3 linked regions of the Pelodiscus sinensis genome follow. The protein of the gene in region 2 binds, or shares a complex with, the protein of the main gene of each other region. Links are inferred from orthologs where the notes say so. Each region holds a gene or a part of one and is shown on either strand. Other genes may lie near its edges.

Region 1 (7,356 bases), on a different chromosome or scaffold from region 2:
TTGTTATTTCCCGACGCAGGTTTCTGAGCCTTTCCAATTTGTCAACAACCTTTAAACGTGTGGTTAAACTGTAAATCTCTCTGCCTTAAACCATAAGACCACAAGTTCTAAGGCCAGTTGTAGGCTAATGGGGAAGGTCGAATTAAGATATGCAACTCCAGCTTTGTTAATTATGCAGCTGTAGTCAACATACCTTAATTTGAGTTTCTGTGCAGTCTTCACAGTGAAAGGTTGATGGAGAAACACTCCCATCAGCTTCCCTAACATCTCACAAAGAGCAGCAGTACCAGCACCTTCCGAGTTTGATTTAACAGGTCTTTATTAGACCCACTAAATCACAATCTGGAAGATCGATCGTGGCAACATTGATCTTCCGTGTAGTGAAGACATGGCCAGAATCGTATCCTATATTTAGTACAGCACTAAGATTAATAAGTAATAAACAACAGAAGCAATACTAGTTATTCCACCCGAGTAGTACTAGGTAGGTAACTATTAACCCAGTAGTAAATAATGATACTTTTTCAAATCCTGGTGACTACGTATGATTTTCAGAAAAACAGGTTTACTGACACACCGGTCAGCTACTCCAACTTTGTTTCCCTCCTCTTTCTTGTGTAGTCCAAGTCTGACAACTTCAGCTGGCATTTCTCCTCAGCCATATGGAATCATCACAACTAGGAGTGCCATTTCTGGAGCTGCGTAGTCTAGCAGCTAGAGTTGAATACTGAAAGCCAAGACATCTGAGTTCTTTTCCAAGTGCTATCATAGATGCTTTGCATGGCTGGCCTCTGGCCAACCTTGGACCCTTCTTGTGCTTCAGTTTCCCTAATGTAAAAATGAGGATGATAGCACGTACCTAACAGTAGAGTGTGTTGTAAAGGACTCTGTTAGAACTTCAGATGACATGCATGAAAGAATTCAGTATTATTGCATATAATGATTTTGAAGCTGAATTCCATTGAATCCCAGGAGTATCTGCCAAGCCCTTTAAAAGTATGCCCACCTCTCCCGTAATGAAAGGTCATCTCTGTTTCAGTCAAAGCTGTTCTGCAGAGAGGCCTTCAGCTCCATAATTACCTATTTGTTTACTCGGCACTTTAAGAAGCCAATACAGAGGGCATGGGTAGCTCAGCTGGGAGATGTCCATGCAAGCATATGCTGGTGTCTGTCAAAACTATCTAACACTTTTCTGCTGGATAGATGATGAAGCTGTTTTACTGAGCCAGCAGGATATTTACGAGTTATAAATTTATTCAATAAAGCGCGGTATTTATGTGTTTCTCCCAATCTGTCTCCCCTTAAACATAAAGCTTCCTACATGTGCACAGAAAATGATATTGATAAGGTCATTAGCTATATTAAAATGTATTTATTATATCAACCAGAAATGGGACTAAGGCAAACCTCCAGATTAAAACACCCCCAAACATGGGGGAATGCCAGATTGGAACTCGGATCTGAATGCTATGGATCAGCCTCTTCTGTCTGATAATAAATAGTTTAGTCAGGTTGAGGATTATCACTATATGATTTCATAGTCATCTTACAAATATATTAAAATCTAATTGTACCTTCAACCCGGGGTGCTAATCAAAAGGAAATCCTGTTATTTAGGGGGATTTCTGTCTAGGAAATAATCCAAGTTGGTATTAGCCTCTTGAAATTGGAAAAGTCAGGAAAAGAGTATTAGCACAGGTTGCATGAATGCAGCAGACTTTGCAATCCGCAAAAATGTAATACAACTACTTGCAAATCATGCTAATGTAATACCTTTCCAGGAAACTAGCGAGGGGCGCCAGGCTACCATGCTTCCCGTTGATTTTAATGGGACTATTTTCAGGATCTCTGACTACTCCGTATGAAGAAAAGGGTCTGAATAGACTTCTTTCTTCACAAACACAGAGCACCTTTGCTTTCTGCCACTCTGTGAAATTTAAGGAGGCCCTAATAAGCCAGTGATAGATTATTTCTCACTTAATTACAGCATTTTTTGGCATTTGGAGAACTATGCCATTGCATGCAGTTCCACACTGCCCTAAGTAATACTGAAGAGTATTAAATAACTTTGAAATAACTTTCAAAAACAAGAGGTTCTGGCATATTGCTCTGAACTACAAACATTTTATAATGAACCAGATATCATTCCCACCCCGTAATCCCCACACAGGCAAAACTCCCTGTGGACTCAATGGAAGTTTGGCCTTTATAAGGCCTAGCATAGCTTTTGCAAGGTTGTTGATATCAGCAAAAACATCAGTGGGAAAATATCCTTCTTTCTGATTTCTCTCTGTGCCTTTTGCCTTCTCCTATCTGGCCCCCTTTATGCCAGCTGCTTTCTGTGCTGTATGGAAACAGCTGAAGAGCAGTGTGCTAAATATGCTCACAGATCTATACTGTGGAAGTGCATCATGCATTTAAGATAAGGCCTCAACGAAATGTGACAATGAGGTGTATTTTCAGGCTAATATGAAAACTAAATTGACGTGTTGAATCTTGTAAGATCAAGTGCAGTGGGAGCAAGAATCACATTTTTTCCAGCATGTTTTTTCTCTTCCTAAAAGACGTCACTAAGAATAGCCTGACATTTTCTCCCATGCATTTTTGGGGTGGATGCGGAATGAATGCAAGCACCTACCTCCTGTCAGAGTTATCTTCCCACAGCTCCTCTCCTTGGTAACTTGTTCTTGGATGTAAAACTGCTTTGTGCAGAGCCGCCATAGCCCGAAGTGAGCAGCCTCACAGGTGGAATTGTAATGCTCCACTTTATGGCTTAGCACTGCCCAGTGATCAGTCACCACAGCTGCAAACATTAAAGAGACGCCAACCAAAATAACAGAGAAAGTCACCCGAATTTTCAGTGCTTTGCCTTCGTCCATGGCTAGGGTGCACCGGAGCGCATAGGGCAGACTCTTTCGGTGATTACTGCCCTGTCGAGTTTTGTTTGTCTACTTGAAGGAGAGCTGCAAGTTATTCAAGTGGTCTTCCAAAGTCTTGGCGTGTCTAAGCATTTCCAAATAGATTCCAAATGTCATCCGTGTGTTGCAAAAGTAGAGCAGGTTGTGGGCTGGCTTGGACAGCTGGCCACATGTACAGCTGTTGAAATATATCAGGAGACAGGGTGACTAGACTTGTGAGTGGGGCTTCTATTAATGCACCTAATGAATAAAGTAACTGCGGGAGCTCCAGTTACAAGCTTGTCCCTGCTGGGTTTGTGCAGCAAGTTCCATAAGCCAACTGAGAGCAAAGCTAGCTCCGTGTAATTAATATCCACAGCCATGAGACCATTCCCTTCTCACTCAAGGCATGGCTGGGAACAGAGACCGGTGCAAACTTTTTTAGAACGTAAAAGCATTTTTCTTTGTGATAAAGATGGGGGTGAACCCACTTTTCTTCCACAGAATCCATTATTGGTTCTAACGATACCCTCCCCTACACCCCGAGGCTGGAGTGTTTCAGGGGCCCAAACACACCAAACTTTGGTGGAACTGGAATTGTCTCTGATTTCAGAATAGAATTTTGTGGTTCAGCCTCGTTTTTACTACACATAATTCAGTGGCACTGAGACCAGTGAGAGAGAGAATGAAGTCTACACTGCAGCTTTAGCTACAAGTCGGTTGGCTTTTAGATCGTGAGGTAGAAGCTCATGACTTTAGCACCTAAAGTCCTAGGTTTAATCCCATGACAACATACGAATGGCCATACTGGGTCAGACCAAAGGTCCATCTAGCCCAGTATCCTGTCAGCCAACAGTGGCCAATGCCAGGTGCCCCCAGAAGGATTGAACAGAACAGGGAATCATCAAGTAATCTCTGCTCTGTCATCTATTTTCAGCTCCAGACAAACAGAGGCTAGGGACGCCATTCCTACCCATCCTGGCTAATAGCCATTGATGGACCTAACGTCCATGAATTTATCTAGCTCTTTTTTGAACTCTGGTAAAGTCCTGATCTTCACAACATCCTCTGGCAAGGAGTTCCACAGGTTGACTGTGTATTGCATGAAGAAATACTTCCTTTTAACCCACCTATGAATCCCACCTGTCTATACCCCAGGGCCATGGAACCACGGTGCCCACTATCTACAGACCAGGACTACTGAAAACCTTTCATGCTATCTGTGAACACTTGGTTTAGGTATTCATCAGCCAAAATTAACAATCAGCCACGAGTCTGACCAAGGAATGTCTGCAGCACCACTGAAAGAGAATCTCTTCACCCGTCAGCAAGCGCCTACTTAGGGCTGGAGTGGGGAAGGATACAAATTAAATACAACGCTGAGGGGAAAAGCATTTTCCACAGCCCAACAGTTTTTCTCTTTTTCCAGGCTCGCCTCCCAAAGGACCGTAACTAAAAGAGCTAGCGTGTGACCGGCTCAGTAGCTGCTGGTATGCTGCTGTGCATATCTGGCAAATAGGTGACTGAAGCCGGGTTTGTCAGCAGGCCATCAATGCTTGTTTCATGGAGGTGGGGCGGTACCTGGCCCTTGTGCTCCGCTCTGTCGCATCGCGCTTTGTCTTCTACCAGTGCGCGTGTGTGGTAGGTTTTTAGCCGGCCTTGGTTGTGGTCTTGAAAATAGAGTAAAGAGCCACAGTTGGCTTCTTGCAGAGAAGAGAAGTAGAACGAGCCTAGAAAAGCAGAATGATTTGGTCTTAAACACATCACTGTCCTAAAGCTATAGCTGGCCATTATGGTACTTTCCCCTCTGTGATGGGGTATACAACCCCATCCCGGGCAGCACAGGTGAATGAGCTAATATGGTTTCAGGTGGCCTGCTCCCTCACATCTGAGAGGTGTCAGAATTGGATGGAGGAGCTTCAAAGGGAGAAACACAGCTCAGGTGAGGGCAGTCCATGGAAGAGAGCAGACCTTCAGCCCTCTGCTCCTGAAGAGAGGGCCAGGAGAAGACAGAAACTCCTCTGATAACTGGGTGAGCTGGCCAGCCAGTTAGCTAGATGTTACATAAGAATAAGAACATACAAAGGGCCATACTGGATCAGAACAAAGGTCTGTCTAGTGCAGGATCCTGCCTTCTGACAGTGGCCAATGCCAGGTGCCCCAGAGGAAATAAGCAGAACTGATAACCATCAAGTGATCCCTCCCTGGTCACCCATTCCCAGGCTCTGCCAAAAAAGACTACAGTCAGCATTCCTGCCCATCCTGGCTAATAAGCATTGATGGGCCTATCCTCCATGAATTTATATAGTTCATTTTTGAATCCTGTTAAAGTCCTGGTCTTCACAACATCCTCTGGCAAGGAGTTCCACAGGTTGACTGTGCATTGCATCAAAAAATACTTCCTTTTGTTCGTTTTAAACCTGTGACCTATTAATTTCTTATATTATGGGAACAAGTAAATAACTTTTCCTTACTCACTTTCTCCACACCAGTCATGATTTTATAGACCTCCATCATATCCCGCCTTAGTCTCCTCTTTTCTAACAAGACAAAAAGTCCACGTCTTTTTAATCTCTCTTCATATGGCAGCAGTTCCAAACCTCTAATCATTTTTGTTGCCCTTTTCTGAACTTTTTCCAATGCTAAAATATCTTTTTTGAGATGAGGCGACCACATCTGTAGGCAGTATTCAAGATGTGGGCGAAGCATGGAGTTATACAAAGGCAATGAGATATTCTCTGTCTTATTCTCTATCCCTTTGTTGTATTTCCTTGTCTTGAGAGGGAACTTTACCTCTCTTTTCACCTGTAAATTCAATTTAGGGCCACAGCGTGATGAGAAATCAGCCTGAAGAAACTGAATCTTAACCCAGAGTTGGGATGTTTCATTTGTGTTACTTTCCCTTTTGTTCTATTTTTTTTACAGTTGTGGACAGGGTGGATTATCCAGGGCCCAGCCAGAGGGCTGAGCCTCAGAGGACTTGAACTGGTGTGAGAACACTGCTTGGACATCACAAAGCAGAGGCCTGGCTGAGTGTTGGTGCCCCACCGAGAGCCTGGTGGGATTGTGGTGGCAGGGGGAATGTTGCAGGGAAGGAACCCTGGGGACCCGTTGTGACGGTGCGTTGGGGGTCCCCGTCTCCTGCACCCCGAAATGGCACAAACAGACTGCACCAGCCGGTGTAATAGAGGAAGTTTATTGCCTCTCCAGGATACAGCACAGCATAGATGTAATCTGGTCACAGAGCTGGGCTAGGATGCCTCAGGCCCCCTTGAGATGGGGGAGACTGGGCCCCTAAACTCCAGTCCCTTTCCCTAGGCTGTCTCCTCCATGCTTCCAGCCAGCAACTCACTCACTCTCTTCCCGCCCTGCCCCCCAGCCAGGGCAGCTTTCCACCTTCCTTTGTTCCTCTCCATGGGGGGTGTCTGGCCACTGGTTTGCATAGTGACTCATCCTGTTTTGCTGGGTCGTGGTACCCACGGCAGCCAGTGGGGGTTACCCCAGAGCCAGCAGCATAGAAACCAGCCAGGTACCCCCACTACGTCACACCCGTCAAACAGCAAAATTCCAAGCACGGTACAAATGCTCTATATTAGTTAAGCTTTGCAGCATCCTGTTGGAGGTAGATAAGTAGAGTTTGCCAGTATTTTTGGAACAAAAACTTTTCCTTGTCAAAAAGAACACCTGTAGAACAACACCTCCACCACGTTATTGCCACAAAAAATGGACACATATTTTCATTTTTTCCACAAATGTTTTTGTAGCATAAAACTATTTTCAACAAAGAACGCTGAGGGAGAATCTCTACCTAATTTAATCCAGGTGGAGCCTGTAGTAGCAACTCTGGTTTGTACTTACTGTGTATCATATGACAGTGGACTACAGAAGTGGGGGAGATGCCAGCAGGGATGTCCAAAGATATGGGGCTACTATGGAGCTGAGGGAGACTAGAACAGCAGTTCTCAAACTTTTGGAGCTCTGGAGCCCTTTACATGCGTAAAAATTTATGCGGAGCCCCAGCGGTCCACTGCTTGTACGTGTTGTACTTATCAATGTTTCTAGTTTGTCCAGTTTGTCAACCTTGCGGAGCCCCTGGAGATGCCCTGGGGCTCCGCGGAGCACAGTTTGAGAAACACTGGACTAGAAGATCCTGGAAACAAGATGAGGGTCCAGGGTCCAGGGTCTCTGTGCAGACAACCCTGGCCTCTCTGGGAGCCCTTGATCTCCATTCTGTGGCAAATCTGTGTGTGTGGAGAGGAGCAGGGTTTGGAACCCTACCCTACTAGAATGGTCTAGAACCGTGGTCCCCAACACGGTGCCTGCGGGTGCCATGGCGCCCGCAGGGGCATTTCCATGCGCCTGCCAGGTGCTCGGGGCTGGCCTGGCCCCGGGCGCATGGTGGGGGGAACGCCGGCCCCGGGCACGCGGCGCATGGCGGGGGGAGCGCCGGCCCCGGGCG
Region 2 (7,732 bases):
AATGCACACGCGTAGGGAGCCAGCGAACACACCTGCTGCCACTGAGTCATCCCCTGACCAACAGCGCCTGGCAAATGCTCCAAATACCCAGCTGGTGGCACAGACTTAGAAGGAGCCAGCAGCTGAGAGCTGTCCCACAGCCAGCGCGCTTGCCCCATCCTCTACAGCGCCTCCTGCTGGGGGAGGCTGGGGCTGGCAAGATTTCCACCCCACCCGCAGCCAGCCCTCCCTGCAGAATTGTGGCTGGACCCCTCCGCAGCTGTCTCAGAGGGCCCAATCCTGCTCCCCCTCCCCGTCCTCGCCCTGGGACGTCAGTCCCTTCCCAGCTGGTTCCTCCTGAAACTCCCAGTGAGCGCGAGGCCTTTCTGCACAGGACAAGCAGCCGGGACGTGTTGGGGCAGGTCTCGGAATGAGCCATCTCAGAGGGACAGCTGGGCCCAGTTGCTGCCCAGCCCACAGACACGTGGTCCCTGCGCAGGGCAGGAGTTGGTATTTTTAGGATTCCTCCCCACCCCCATCGCTCCAATCAGGGTCCATCCATCAGTCACATTCCCTGCACCCGCGGTGGGTGGCTGGGATTCCCCATCCAGGGGGCTGGTGCAGGGTTTCGTCTGTAACGAAATAGCTGCAAGCCTGTTTTTTACATTCACAATGAACCCTGCAAGCCCAGAGGCCTTGGAGCTACGAACCGCCAAGCCTAGAGAGGCCGAGGCTCAGCCCTGGCACAAGTTAAGCTCTTGACTGGTGGCCCTCCAGGTGGGGAAGGGTTAACCGGAGCCATGTCCTAAGCTGGTGGAGGCTGGGTTTGTGTTTCCCAGCCCTGTGGTCCATCCAGACATGGGTAACCCTTCCCCTTCTCCACCCTGCTAAGTAGCCCTGAGCAACAGATCCAACCAGCGACTGGTACCCCCGGCAGGCACTGGTATCCCAACCAGATACTGGTATCCCAACCAGATACTGGTACCCCCAGCAGGCACTGGTATCCCAACCAGATACTGGTACCCCCGGCAGGCACTGGTATCCCAACCAGATACTGGTACCCCCAGCAGGCACTGGTATCCCAACCAGATACTGGTACCCCCAGCAGGCACTGGTATCCCAACCAGATACTGGTACCCCCGGCAGGCACTGGTATCCCAACCAGATACTGGTACCCCCGGCAGGCACTGGTATCCCAACCAGATACTGGTACCCCCAGCAGGCACTGGTATCCCAACCAGATACTGGTACCCCAGCAGGCACTGGTATCCCAACCAGATACTGGTATCCCCAGCAGGCACTGGTATCCCAACCAGATACTGGTATCCCCAGCAGGCACTGGTATCCCAACCAGATACTGGTATCCCCAGCAGGCACTGGTATCCCAACCAGATACTGGTACCCCCGGCAGGCACTGGTATCCCAACCAGATACTGGTATCCCCGGCAGGCACTGGTATCCCAACCAGATACTGGTACCCCCAGCAGGCACTGGTATCCCAACCAGATACTGGTACCCCCAGCAGGCACTGGTATCCCAACCAGATACTGGTACCCCCAGCAGGCACTGGTATCCCAACCAGATACTGGTATCCCCAGCAGGCACTGGTATCCCAACCAGATACTGGTATCCCCAGCAGGCACTGGTATCCCAACCAGATACTGGTACCCCCGGCAGGCACTGGTATCCCAACCAGATACTGGTATCCCCGGCAGGCACTGGTATCCCAACCAGATACTGGTACCCCCAGCAGGCACTGGTATCCCAACCAGATACTGGTATCCCAACCAGATACTGGTATCCCCAGCAGGCACTGGTATCCCAACCAGATACTGGTACCCCAGCAGGCACTGGTATCCCAACCAGATACTGGTATCCCCAGCAGGCACTGGTATCCCAACCAGATACTGGTACCCCCAGCAGGCACTGGTATCCCAACCAGATACTGGTACCCCCAGCAGGCACTGGTATCCCAACCAGATACTGGTACCCCCAGCAGGCACTGGTATCCCAACCAGATACTGGTACCCCCAGCAGGCACTGGTATCCCAACCAGATACTGGTACCCCCAGCAGGCACTGGTATCCCAACCAGATACTGGTATCCCCAGCAGGCACTGGTATCCCAACCAGATACTGGTATCCCCAGCAGGCGACATCACAACAATGTATCTGTGCTGGTATCCCCACCTCCTCCTCCATCGGGCAGTGCTACACCAAACCCCACAGCGGGTTTCCAGCAGGGGTGAAGTACCCCTTTAGTATCCACTAGCAAGCAGAAGGGGAAATAAAGAGGCGTGGTGCCTCTGGATTGGATCTACCAAATTACCCCGTCTGCTCCAAAGTTTCCCGGCGCGAGCCCCAGAGGAGGCATAGTGGCACCCCGGGGGCCCCTCCGGGCCAGGACTGGCCCAGTCTCACAGACCCTTCAGCATTGTGACCCACATTTTCCAGACGGGGAGACCACGGTGACACAGCAAACAAGGGCAGCTAGGTCCCCCGCAAGACCACCCGCTTCCACCCCTAGGACCCACCCACCCCCTTGCTCACCTCCCTGGTGACCTCTGGGCACAGGATGGGGGGCACGTGGGGCCCCCGCTTTGCCTGGTGGGTGCCAAGGGGGGGGGGGGTTTCAGCTGAGCTGGAACCCGGCGAGAGCAGCGAGAAGGGCGGGGGCAGAAAGCTGCCAGGCTGCGAACCTGCCTCCGATCCCCCCGCATCGGTTCGAGCCCGTCTCAGCCCCCCTGCACTTTCCAGCAACCCCCTCGGAAAAGCAAAGGGCAGCGGGTCATGGGCCGGTTCCGATCCGGTCCGGTCCATCCCCCCGGTATTTCTGGCTGCAGCCCCCCTCCGGGGGGGGGGGGACCCACCTGCAGGCCGGGGTGCTCGAACACGTCCATCTGGATCTCCTGGGTGGAGCTGCGGGGTGTCCGGGCCATGCCGCCCTCCCGCACCATGGAGCTCGCGGCGGCTCGGCCTGGCTCGCCCCGGACTCGTGTCCCAAGCCAGCCCCGGCAGAGGAGGAGCCCGGGGCGGGGGCGGGGGCGTGTGGGGGCGGCAGCCGCCCGGCCCCTCCCGGCGGCCACACAATGCGCAGGCAGGCGGGGGAGGGAGGGAGGGGGGTGGCGAGAGGCGGGGGCGAGCCCCGGGGCTCGCCGGCCCGGAGGGGGCGGGGTGTGGTCCGAGCGCCCCCCCCCCCCCACAGAGCGATGTGGGGGGGTCTGCAAGCAGGCAAAGACCCCCCCCTCCGGCTTTGGAACTCCCCCCCCCCCCGATCCTCCCCCCCTACCGAGGGGCCTGGCTGCCAGCAGCGCTAAGTGGGGGGGGCAGATGTCAGGAGATGTCCCCCGTCATGGGGATTCCCGAAGGGGGGGGCTCATGCCTCCCTACTCCCCACAGAGCCCCCCCCCAAACCCACGGCCATGGCTGGGCGCAGGGCTCCAGTGATGGGTCCGCTCCCCCCTGCCCAGGGACCATGGGGGGCACTGCTGCCCCCCCTCAGATCCTGCAGAGAGCTGGCCCTGGGTATTTTACTGCCACTCTTTTCAAGCCCGCCCCCCAGGCCACTGCTCCAGCCCACCAAAAGCTGGATCCCGCCTCCCTGCAACTGGCTGTGGGGGGTTGCGGGGATACTCAGCCCCCAGACCTGTTTTATTGGGGGGTCCCGGGTTGGCGTGGCGCTGGGTTGGCTCTCAGCGCTAACCTGCTACCCGCCCGGTAACCTGCTACCCGCCTGGTAAGTTGGATTCCACGCACAGCTCCCCCCATCCCATCCCTGGGCTCCCTCCACACACACTGTCCCCCCTTCTTTCCCTCCCCCCGTCTGCCAGCACCCCTCAGTCCCGACCTCCGCCCAGCAGGTGGTAACCTTGAGAGAGATTTCTGAGTCCCAGGATGGGGACCCCCAGCTGGACCGGTTCCCCTCCCTTCCTGCCAGGCACAGGCTCAATGCGGCCGTGTGGGGGGGCAATACTGCTGGGATGGGAGAGGGGGGAGCTTGGTTGGGAACAGATCTCAGCCTCCCAGAGCCCCTGCCATGAGAGCATGCTGGCCGGTGAGCGGCTGTATTGCTTAGCTGGCCTTATTGTGCAGTGACAGCTGGCCTGGGTCCCAGAGCTCTGCTGCAGGTCGGTAGCTGGTAACCCACCCACCTCTCTCCCCCTGTGCCCTGCCACCTCCTTTCATTCGCCCCCACCACCCTTTGCCAGGAACCTGTCCCCTACCAGAGACTTCCTAGCAGAACCCACCTGCCCCAACACCCCCTGGGGGCTCCCAACAGGCCCTGATGATCCTCAAAGCCCCCCACATGCCCCCCACGTCAGGTAGACTAGGGCACTTGGATGAGCTCCAATTTAGGGTGAGAAGGAGGGAGGGGAAAGGAGTCATTGGGGCCACTTCTTCCCCCACCAGCCACCTGGGAAGCAACTGATGCTGTGGCCAAGACCCTGGAGTAAATGAGGGGGCTGAAGAAAAGTGCACTCCCCTCCCCCCCCCCCGTGCTGCCCCTCCCACCCAGCAACCCAGCTGAGGAATGGAGTCAGGGACTTACCCCCTCCATCTGCCCGGTACTCCTGCCAGGGCATGGGGGACAGGGCAGGGACGCTGGTCCTTCTCCGCCCACTTCGGGGCTCCAGCTGAGGCGTGGGGGTCGGGGCCTTGCAAGCCCTCATGACCCAATTCTGCTCCCCAAGGAGACCACTGGGCGGGTGGAGCAGGACAAGCCCTGCACCCCACCCCCAGGAGAGGGGCAAGCCACCGCACCCCAACCCTGGCAGGATGCTGGACGGGCTGAGCAGGGCCAGCGATGGGGCAGGACCAGAGCTGGGATGGGGGGGAGGGGTTGATAAGTGAGTGGGCTGTGGCCAGCCCATATGCTGTACTCCAGGGGTGGGGAACCTCAGACCCGGGGGCCGAGGCTCAGGGGCCTCTCCCAGTACTGGGTAGCCTGCGCTGGCACTCCAGCCCCACTGCTGCCCCACCATGGGGCTGGAACCACAAAATCTACTAGGCCGGGCCGCCCTAGGCTCTGGTGTGTGAGGGGAATGGGGGGTGGGTCTGTCTCCTCCACTGGGGGCTATGTCAGTGAGGGGTTTCTTGTTTTGGTTTGGTTTTGCTTCCCACTTGTGTGCAGCCCCCGACCTAAAAAAAGTTCCCCAGCCCTGCTGTACGCTCTACACCCCAGTACAGAGGAAGCCCCATGACAGGCGACAGGGGGAGAGAATTCACGTGGCTGGTGGGGGTCTGTGGCTAAGTAGGAAAGAATTGGGGGGGCTTGGCTCTGTGTTTCCCCACCTCCCTCCCTTGTCTCGCCACCCGCTAGGCCACAGCTCGCTTTGGCAGGGATCCTGAGCGTAGGGAAGTGCCCTCACCCCACTGGAGCATGACAGCAGCCCCATGACCACCCCTTCACCTCGCAGAGACTGGGGGCCAGTCCCAAGGGGGTGCAGCGGGGTGCGGTGGATTCACTCCGGAGAGCTGGCTCCAGCCCCGGCCTGCGCAGCTGGGAGACAAACTATCCAAGCACCAGGGCAGGCGAAGCAGGAGAGCTTTTCCATTATTAGAACCCATCCATCACGGGCGGGCTGAGGCGTGACTGCAGAAACCAGCACTGAATCCCATTTCACCTCCACCGGAGAAACCAGGCATGGAGAGAATGACTTGCCCAAGGTCACGCAGCTAATCGGTGGCAGAACCAGGTGTAGACTCCAGCCCCCCTGTTAGGCTCTAGCATCCCCCCCTCTCCGCCCCCATTTCAGAGGGTGGGGATACAGCTCAGATGACTGGGACTATACAAGTCCGGACCCCAAAGAAGCAAAGAGGGGGTCTTTTGAACCCCAAAAGACTAAGCAATTGAATCAACCAATTGTACACAATGTGAGTGCAGAAGAGTATGTCAAGTAAGGCCTCTAAGGAAAGTTGGTGATGTTCTGAACTTGCTGGGCATTAGGAGATCTGCACGCAGGGCATACACGCATGTGAAAGTTGTAATTGTAAACTACAACATCACCTGGCATATAAGGCAGGGAGGTGCACCAGGCCAGCTGTTTCCACGGAACCAACTTCAGCGACTCGTCCATCCTTCAGCTGGGAAAAGACAATGCTGGGACCACTAGAGTTAATGGAAAGACAAGGAGACAGCTGGGAATTCCCACACACACACCAATGAGTCACCAGGCCAGAAAGAAGGGGAAGGGGGGAAGCCTTTTACTAGCAGGCTTATGTTGCATCAGAGGCTTTCTCTACACCTAAAAGTTTCAAGCGCAGCAGCTTTAAGCTATGGATGTAAACAAGTAGTCGAGTATACGATTAACCGGTAAGACTAGGCTTATCGGTTAATCTTCTCAACTACTTGCATCCCGCCCAGCCTTGCTGCCTCTGTATCAGAGGCAGCAAGTGGGATGGGGCAGGAGCCGGTGCTGCAGGGAGCCACCTTAAAAGGTAGATTCCTCCCAGCACCGGTTCTGCCATGCCGCCAGCCCCCCAGCATGGGGGGGCAGGAGAGGCTGCACAGGAGCAGGGGAGGCATCGCACGGAACAGCCTCTATCCTCGGACAGCTCAGACCCCCCCACGGACGGGGCTACTGCCACCCTGCACTGCTGCCTCTGTATCAGAGGCAGCAGCATGGGGTGGCAGGCAGGCAGCTGGTCTGCTTGGGGAGTTGGTTTTTAAACTGGCTCCCCTCACGGACCGGCTCCCTCCTGGCACCTTGCGCTGCTGCCTCTGATACAGAGCTCTCCCAGGCCAGCGCTCTATGTAAACCACATCCATGAGGAGAGTAGCAAACAGCACTGTAGCCTGGTTCCCATTGGCACTTTACAGCGCTGTAACTTCTGCACTTGGCGGGGGGTTGTTTTTTCACACTCCTGAGCCAGAAAGATGCAGCACTGTGAAGTGCCAAGGTAGACGCAGCCTTTGCATGAAGGTTTTTTCCCAGAAACTGAGGGCAGCCTGTCCGTGAAACCCTGGATTCTCCCTAGGACAGGTGTGCTGGGAAACTGTTCGGAGGGAATAGAAAAGGGGATTTGTCTAATAAACAAGCGTAAAGCCAGAGGTTGCGTCTTTCCATTTCAATTCCGTGTGACGGGTCCGCGTTTGCTTTCTCTTACCTGTTCACCTTTGAATCTGCAGTTTTTTCCATAGTAAATAAAATTACTTCTACCCCCAGAGCGTCCCAGCGACATTCAAACTGCCCCTGCCTCTTCATCCCAAACTCAAACCCAGCTCTGAGTCAATACAAGCCGGTTCCCGGTTCCAGTCAGGAGTGAAGTAGGTTTCCTCCCTGCAGAGGATCCCAACTTTGGGGCGGTTCCCTGATCCAGATGTGACTCCCGCCCGTCTCCCGCTCCTGACAGGGGGATGCCAGGCCCGATTTGAAATGACCTCTTCAGACTAGGGATGGAAATGGGCAATTGGTACTCGGCCACAGCCCCCCACCTACAGTCTGCCATCAGCAGCAGCAGCACCCCTGTTGCCAGCGGCAACCACTCTGGGACCAGGACCAAGATCCCGCGTAGTTAGGTTAACCAGTTAAACATTGGGTTAACCGAACGTTTAACCGGTTAACTGATTAGTGGGGATTTTCCATCCCTACTCCAGACCAGCAGGGGCTGGGAGATTTGGGGAGAAGGATGCTGTTTAGAGAAACCCCTGTGTATCCCCTCTTCCCAGCTAGGCCAAGGGAGATGGCCTTTTCTGAGGGTTCAGGGCCACTCCCATTTTGGCCTGTTTGTGCAGAGACCATCCAGTTACCCGG
Region 3 (7,817 bases), on a different chromosome or scaffold from region 2:
TAAAAAAAACTTTATTCCTCCTCTAGTTGGTATAATCCAAAAACTCCTAAATCAAATGTTTGTGTGACTGAGATTTGAGTATTTTTTAAAACAAGTTTATATTTGACACTTGGGAGATTTGCATCACTAAAATCAATTACACATTAAGGGTCAATCTAGACTAAATGCCTTTCTTGAAAGAGGCTTTTTCAAAAGATACTTTCGAAAAAGCCTCTTTTGAAAAAGAGCTTCTAGACTACAATCAGTACTTTCGAAAAAGCAAGCTGCTTTTTCGAAAGACAGCACCCAGGCAGTCTGGATGCTCTCTTTCGAAAAAGCACAGTTTGCATTACATAGCGCCTTTTTTTGAAAGGGCACTTTCGAAAAAAGGTGTTATTCCTCGTAAAACAAGGTTTTCCGCGATCAAAAAAACTGCCAGGTTCTTTCGATTTACTTTTGAAAGAACGCGGCAGCAGTCTAGACGCAGGGGAAGTCTTTTTGAAAAAAGGCCACTTTTTTCTAAAAAAACCCCTGTAGTCTAAACACACCTTCATAGAACACAATAATCAATCTCCTTGTTTGTTAACATGGTCTAATCCAACCCCCTATCACTTTTGGCCATGGACAATTTAAAATCTGTAACAAAAAGCAAGAACAACCCTGCAGATTTCAATTCCTGTGACAGAACATGAGCAGAGAAAAGGCCTCTCTAATTATCTGGATAAAAGACTATTTTACATTTCATAGGTTGTAATGAACAGTCTGACATGCACCAAGGAGCAGACAACCAGTGCTGATCACAGAGCATGGAGGGTTGAATGATCTGGCCCATTCAGGTGACATTCCACCACATCAGTTGAGGTTTTTAATTCTTTTTTCTGGTAGCCTCAAAGCATATATCCACTAGGGTTGCTAGATGTCCAGTATTCACCCTGACAGTCCAGTATTTTTGCCTCCTGTCTGGTAAAAAAAAATTCAGAAAATACCGGACACCTAAAATGTCCGGTATTTTCTGATTTTTTTCCCTGGCCAGGAGGCGAAAATGCTGGGCATCTGACAACCCTACAAACACTCAGCACCTGGCCTCCCCTTCCCTCCCGCCCCCCCCCGTCCCCAAGTCCCCCCTGGTTCCCAACACCCCGAGCCCCCCGACCCCAGCCCCCATGCTTATCTGGTTCCGCAAGGCTGCCGGCACAAAATGGCTGCTGACCAAGGGGAAGCATTTGGGTCTTAGTGCTCAACCATTTCCCTGTTCCTATCCCTGCACTCTTAAAAGGGGGTATGCTGTTTTCATGCTGTTTTATTTTATTTTTTTTGGCTTAAGTCTTGGAGTCATCTCCCCCCCCCCTTTTTCCCCTTTCAACAGATTTTTTTCCCCCGGTGTTTTTTTTTGGGGGGGGGGGGGGGGGAAGGAAGAGGGTCGGTATTTTTGTTTCAACCATCTGGAAACCCTAATATCCACACTGCAGAGTTAGTCCACAGGCTCGCTCTCTCCGAGGTGTTGACCCTAACTCCCTTCCTGTCCACCCACAGGAACCGCACATACAAATTAAGTGATGCTCTCAACCCAGGTTATCTGGTCCATCTGGAAGTATAAAGCAAGGGCTCCACTGTCACTCAGGCTGGCAGTCTCTCCACTTCACAGTGAGCACACAAAGTCACTTGAGGGCTATTGTCCTCAATACCTTCTCAAAAGCACACACATTTTTTCCACAGCTAAATAAAGATTTTTACCAAATCAAATTAAGGATTCAAAACCAGTCAATGGCTTATTGTAGAAACTAAATTTAATATATTTAGATCACAACATCAAAGCCAATTATAAAGTTTTCCTTTGAAGTACCTCCCCCAAAGGTCTTTTGACAAATCTGGTACAAGGCAGATCTTGGTGCTACGCAAGTTGGGCCAATTAAGATCAAATTAGGTCCTTTTTTAGTTGGAGCATCAACCTGGAAAAGCTCTACTTAAACCAGAAATTTTAAAATATTTGCTGGTGAACATACCAGACACTCAAAACCAAACAACTTTACAGTCTACTTGTAGCCATGCTGGTCCTTGAAGAAGAGCTCTGTACAGCTCAAAAGTTTCTCTCACCAACAAAAGCTGGTCCAATCTAAGATATAACCTCAACCAATTCAGGAATTTACAGTAAATTCTGTTTTGAAACTGGCCTTTGTTTTTGGTTTTTTTTTGCTCCCTCCCCCCCCCAATTCCCGGGTATTGACACAAACAAAAATTTGGATTTTACCCATTTTAACCTCAATTTTGCAAGTGCTGGAATGCCCTGCGTTTCCAGCACCCTGCCAAAAGGAACAGAGCACTAGCACACAAATCAACTGCCACTTGGCAGCCAAGTGGGGCTCCCTGCTTATCTCACCTCCTTATCACCAAACTCCCTGTGCATTAGGGGAATGAGACAAATATGGACACAGGCAGGCAGTAGTTGGTCTGCCTTCTCTGCCAGACAGAGCCTGCACCTGACTCTGGCACTTCAAAGTGACTCTAACTCTGTGGTGTCCAACATGTTGCTACTTGGCTGGTTGAGTGTAGTTAGCGTACTATAGCAGTAGCCGCTATAGTGGCTACTGCTTCAGAAATGGTTGGACACCACGGCTCTAACTGCTTTCTTTGCACAGTCGGAAGTGACACAGGCAGGGAGTGCCCCCTCCCTACCAGCTGAGACTGCCCCACCCACTTCTGCAGCAACAGGCCTGCAGGGAATGGAATGCCTCTGCATTCCCATGAGTACTGGGCTACCTTCACACTCTCCCCAGCCCCTTCGTATTTGTTTATCAATCATCCTTTAACATTTGTTTTTATATTGATAAATTCCTGTGAAATTTTAAATGAAATGAACTCTCAGGACTGTAGATACACTAGAAACAACTTTTTCTGACATCTTCATCTTGATAAAGAAAAAAAGTTACTTGAAAATCTATCAAAACTAAACTCCCATAAAATGTAACATTTTATAGAAAGTCTGTATTCCATTCTCAACCATTTTGTTGTCAATCATAAATAAAATACTCTCTCTTTACTAAGCCCACATTTAAAGAGGAAGATTGTGCCCTCCCCCCACTCAATGTTTTATAGAGGACACAAAGACCACCTGAAAATTGTCTGTTTTGTCTCCTTCTGCTTTTTACACTACAAATTGAGGTCAGATCTGCCCTGTTTTCCTGGAAAACTGTAGATAACTCAAGAGTTACTAGGTTTGTGATATCACAACTATCAAGGAAATAAAGCCCAAATAACTGAGTAAGAAAGTGATTTTCATTAAGTCTAAAACTCTGGTTTTGCTAACACTACTGTAACTCAAACACTTAACACATAGCTGGGAAAAAAAGCTTTCTGTTAAAGATTGAAAAGGCCTCTTCAGTTGAACAGCTGATAAAACTCCCAATCAACTTTCAACAAATAGGGACAGTAAGACAATATTTTCATTATTTCAACGTCAAAGAAAAAAAAAACAAGCAAGAAAAATACTTTATCGAAGGAAAATAAAATCAATTTCAGAGAGTTATCTTTACATGACACAAAAGACATGAAGGAAAAATTCTGCCTCTTGCCCCCCCCGCCCCCCCCCCCCCCATACCAAAAGCTTGACGGGTTACCTTTAAAATCAAACTAGCAGGGAATTGTTCAAACATCTTTCTCAATCATCTTTCCCCAAATGCAGATGGTTAAGAGAGTGGGCAGTAAATTGGCAATGTTGTTAAAGTCAAGAGACAGTTTCTTGTGTAGGGATCTCACCACCATCTGTTTAAATGTGGCTGGAATCCTTTCTTAAAAAGCAAAGCATTTAATAATTCTTGTTAATAAAATGGGCCCCAAACATCCCTCTGATCTTTTTTTTTTTTTTTTTTTTTTTTAAAACCAGCCAGGAAGTGAAGAAGCCCAGATTACAGATTGTCAGATGTAGATGCAACAACACATCTTAAACCCCGCTCTACAAAACAGAACACTACTCGAAACAGAGAAGGTAGTTTGTTTGTAAGACCTTGCCCATCACTCTACCTTAACCATGCTAGTCACATCACACTATTCATTCAGTCTTTCTAGCAAAACAAAATAGAAAAAAGTTCTATACCATACCATGCCTTTCGTACTCCTGTGCTGCTGCTGGCAGTGGCTCCACCTTTAGAGCTGAGCTCCTGACCAGCAGCTACCACTCTCCAGCAGCCCAGCTCTGAAGGTTGTGCTGCCACCACCAGGAGCAGAGAAGTAAGGGTAGTAGTAACACAACCACACAAACATCATAACCTTGTGACCTCCTTCCCAACAACTCCTTTTTGGGTCAGGACCTCTACAAATTCAACACTGAGATTTCAGATTTAAATAGATTAAATAGAATTTACATTTTTTTAAATTCTCTGACCATGAAATTGACAAATATGGACTATAAATTTGTATTTGTATGTAAAAACAATATAAAACTAAACTCACATTCCAGGAGAAGTTGTCTGGCTATGACAAGCCTACAGTCTACAAAATCCTAGACAAAAGCTATCTTTCTTCAAATACAAGAGTATATCAGACAAGTTAGTGATGATTTACAAAAAACAGAGATCACCATGACTCAGTAAGGTGATGAGCTGACAGGCAGATGGAGCCCATTATCTTCACTTCTCAATCCAAGTTTTCCTGTAAAAGCACTAGGGGAGGAGAGGGCTTTAACCAAGCAATAGAAACACAGGACAAAAAAGGATTAGGAGTGAAGCACTAGGGAAGAAAAGATAATGCAAGAAATGCTGCTCACATTTCAAATAGCTAGAAAAGTTTCTGTAGTTTTGGTCACATGAGCTTTTCCAAGACTAGGGTTTAACATCTGGACAAGTTTTGTGGCTATTAGGTTTAAATGATATTAAAGTAGAAACTACGGACAATCAGGAACCTACTTTTGCTATATACAGAGTATTTAATTCAGCTGTACAAAGCTACCTTTGGAAGTATAAAATGTTTCAAGCCTTTGTTCGGCAATCTACTTCAGCATATCGCCCACTACCGAACCATCTGCCAGGTGAACCTGAAGTGAAGTATAAGGGCAAGTTGGTGCATGAAACTCAGCTTAGCTGCTTCTACATCCAACCTGGAGGTAAGACCCACATTAGTGATATAAATAATGATGTCCTGAAATCTTCTGTGTTGTATTCCATTCCCATTGAAACAGAACAGTTATTTTCATATCTGAAAACTTTTATGAACAATGCATTTTAATAATCATTGGTAATATATTTGGAAATTGTGGCGTATAAATGCACTCCCACAGGAGACAGAGTGCTCTGGAAATTCTCAGATCTCTAGAGTGAATAGAAAGGCACTTCATCAGATAACATGCTGACTTTTAAGCGCCTAATTAATTCCAGTCCCTTGCTTCCATCTAGAAAAGGATGAGACAGGGCTTAAGAAAAAAATATTTGATTCCAGAATTTAAAATGCAGTCACGGACAAACTGTGGGCATGGGTTTGAGTAGGCATAGATGGGAATAACGGGATTTCACTTTAAAGTAGAGAATATATAAACAATATTTGAAGACAAAGTAGTAAATGTGTTTTTTAAAGGCAAGCCTGATTTCTAAAGGGAAATTAATTGAGACTTGTTTTCCAATCTTCAGTTTTCAAAAGTACTACATACATATTCACTCTCCTGGGAAAAACACAGACAGCTGTCCATTTTATCCTATATGAAGTAATAGGGGGAAAAAGTGTCACATGAAAAGTTACCGTCTTTAAAAAAAATTCCATTCCATGTTTAACTACTCTGCTTTTCTCATCATATGGCTATCTTATCTTGAAAAGATGTCCGGAATTCCCAGTGTTGGCAGTACACTCAACAGTAAATGTTCAGAGCAGTTAGCATATTGCTTATGTACTGACATCCATAAATGGGAAAGTAAGCCGGTGTTCAGCAGAAACATGCTGAATTATTCCTCTTTCCACCTCATTAAGAATCTCTCTCACATCTTCAGAGTGCTCTAAATCTACCTTAATTCTCCTTCATACACTTTCTGCATCAATGTAACAGGCCAAACGGATTCAATCACTACCAGCCACTGAAAGTTTTTTTTATCTTAACTGTTTCTTTTCATGGGACATAAAATTTCACTGACTTTCAAATACCAGTCCATGATTCCACATGTGAATTTGTAACTATTAGCAGAGAGGCATCTTTTTTTTTGGCTGCTTACTACTCATCAGGCAATAGCAATATTTGAAAACGGTGGCTTTACCCACTACAGGTAAGATTGCAGAACTATCACCATAACAAAACCATTTTTAGGACTTTCCTAAAATGTTCACCTTTTCAATTGAATATTTCCATACTCCGATCACACTGTGCAGAAAAGCCTTAAGTTTAGCAAAATCCCTGTAATTGTGTTGAATCATAGGGAAAAATTAAGGCTATAATGAGGCAGACAATCGACTAATTGGGGTTGTGTGTGGTGGTGGGAGGAGGGACGCGGTGATAGGGATCCAGAATTGACCTCCCCTGGTGCAGCAAACTCACTCATTTGGGACCAGTGAGGACCGAGGGTGCCAGACCAGTGTGGTCCAACTTCTGCTGGTGAAAGGGAAAAGTTTTTGAGCTTCAGAGAGCTCTCTCTCAGATCCGAAACATATGATATTTGGCCAGTGCAGAAAACTGATTAGATGAACTACTAATCTAATCTGGTATAGTGACTTCTATATTTCTGCTGAGCCGCATCATAGCAACAGGCACAAGACTCTTAAGTGAAAGGTCTCTGCACAAATCATTTGGTTCCAAGCTCTAGTGTGTCTTCACAATGCACTACTGATAAAGGAGGAATGAGAAAATAATTCTAGATTTCATGTCAGACCTTGACCAATCTCACTAACCAAGCTATATGATGTAAACCTGGATAGTGTTTTAAATTATCAAATAATTTAACCAACGCCATAGAGGAAAAGGGTTATTTTGCTGTTAGAAAAACAAAGGAAGTTTTTGAAAAATTGCAGCAAGTATGCATTATTTCAACCACAGTGAAAATACCGATTGTGTCTTCCCATCTCAGGTATAATGAGATACCAAAAAGAGAGACATTTCTACTAGCAATATCCATAATTACTGAATTAGTTTAAACTTCTACCTCCATTCCTGACTTCTAAATTAACAGCCCTAAATCCAACCTCGCTTAAATAGACACGGACAAACTTTTCAGGGACACAGTGGATTAGTGCAAATGGTCACTGGTTTGGCACCCAAAGCCTGTCTGGATTGCTTTAGTATTGGGTTATAGTGCCTAAAAGCCTTGATGCAAACACCTATTTCAACTTCATATTACAAAGATCAAACAAAAAGACACAAAATAGTATGAAAATTGCCAAACTACAAGAAGAAAAACATGTTAATCATACTGTAAATCTTCATAAACTTTAGCATCATTGAATATAATTTTGAAAAATATTGTTATTGTATATTGGCTGCAAGTACCATCCTTTTAAAGGATAAATACAATGCAACAAGAAGGTCAGCAGACTTATCTAGCACAGCAATACCATCTTTTGCTGCGGAGTACATTCATTTCAGATTATCTGATACTAACTATAGATATTCATCTGCATTGAAATCAAAATGGTTTCAGTTAGCATTCAACAAAATGCTGCAATTTGACAGAAATTATTCAATCCCTCAATCCTACTGTTTGCTTTTAGATATCTCTGAAATTTATACTTAGAATAATCTTTTTCAAATATCAATTTATAGTTTTCTTAAAAAGGAAAGCAACTGTATTGCTGAACTGTTAAACACAGATGAAAATGTATGGTTTAAATAACATAACAGAAAGATAAGTATAGTAACTACAGATTAAGATAAT

The links.
Region 1: CACNB1 (region 2) and CACNG1 share a complex: the UniProt entries of both Homo sapiens proteins name them as parts of the calcium channel complex. The link is inferred for Pelodiscus sinensis from reciprocal best matches to the Homo sapiens genes CACNB1 and CACNG1.
Region 3: CACNB1 (region 2) and CACNA1C share a complex: the UniProt entries of both Homo sapiens proteins name them as parts of the calcium channel complex. The link is inferred for Pelodiscus sinensis from reciprocal best matches to the Homo sapiens genes CACNB1 and CACNA1C.

Annotation. Positions count from the first base shown.
Region 1 is NC_134730.1:21,672,412-21,679,767, forward strand, and holds the start of CACNG1 (voltage-dependent calcium channel gamma-1 subunit), read right to left. Parts: upstream 3,059-7,356; 5' UTR 2,880-3,058; coding exon 2,639-2,879; intron 1-2,638. UniProt on the Homo sapiens protein: Regulatory subunit of the voltage-gated calcium channel that gives rise to L-type calcium currents in skeletal muscle. Regulates channel inactivation kinetics.
Region 2 is NC_134739.1:12,091,602-12,099,333, reverse strand, and holds the start of CACNB1 (voltage-dependent L-type calcium channel subunit beta-1), read right to left. Parts: upstream 3,006-7,732; 5' UTR 2,936-3,005; coding exon 2,849-2,935; intron 1-2,848. UniProt on the Homo sapiens protein: Regulatory subunit of L-type calcium channels. Regulates the activity of L-type calcium channels that contain CACNA1A as pore-forming subunit.
Region 3 is NC_134711.1:109,146,664-109,154,480, forward strand, and holds the start of CACNA1C (voltage-dependent L-type calcium channel subunit alpha-1C), read left to right. Parts: upstream 1-4,758; 5' UTR 4,759-4,935; coding exon 4,936-5,074; intron 5,075-7,817. UniProt on the Homo sapiens protein: Pore-forming, alpha-1C subunit of the voltage-gated calcium channel that gives rise to L-type calcium currents. Mediates influx of calcium ions into the cytoplasm, and thereby triggers calcium release from the sarcoplasm.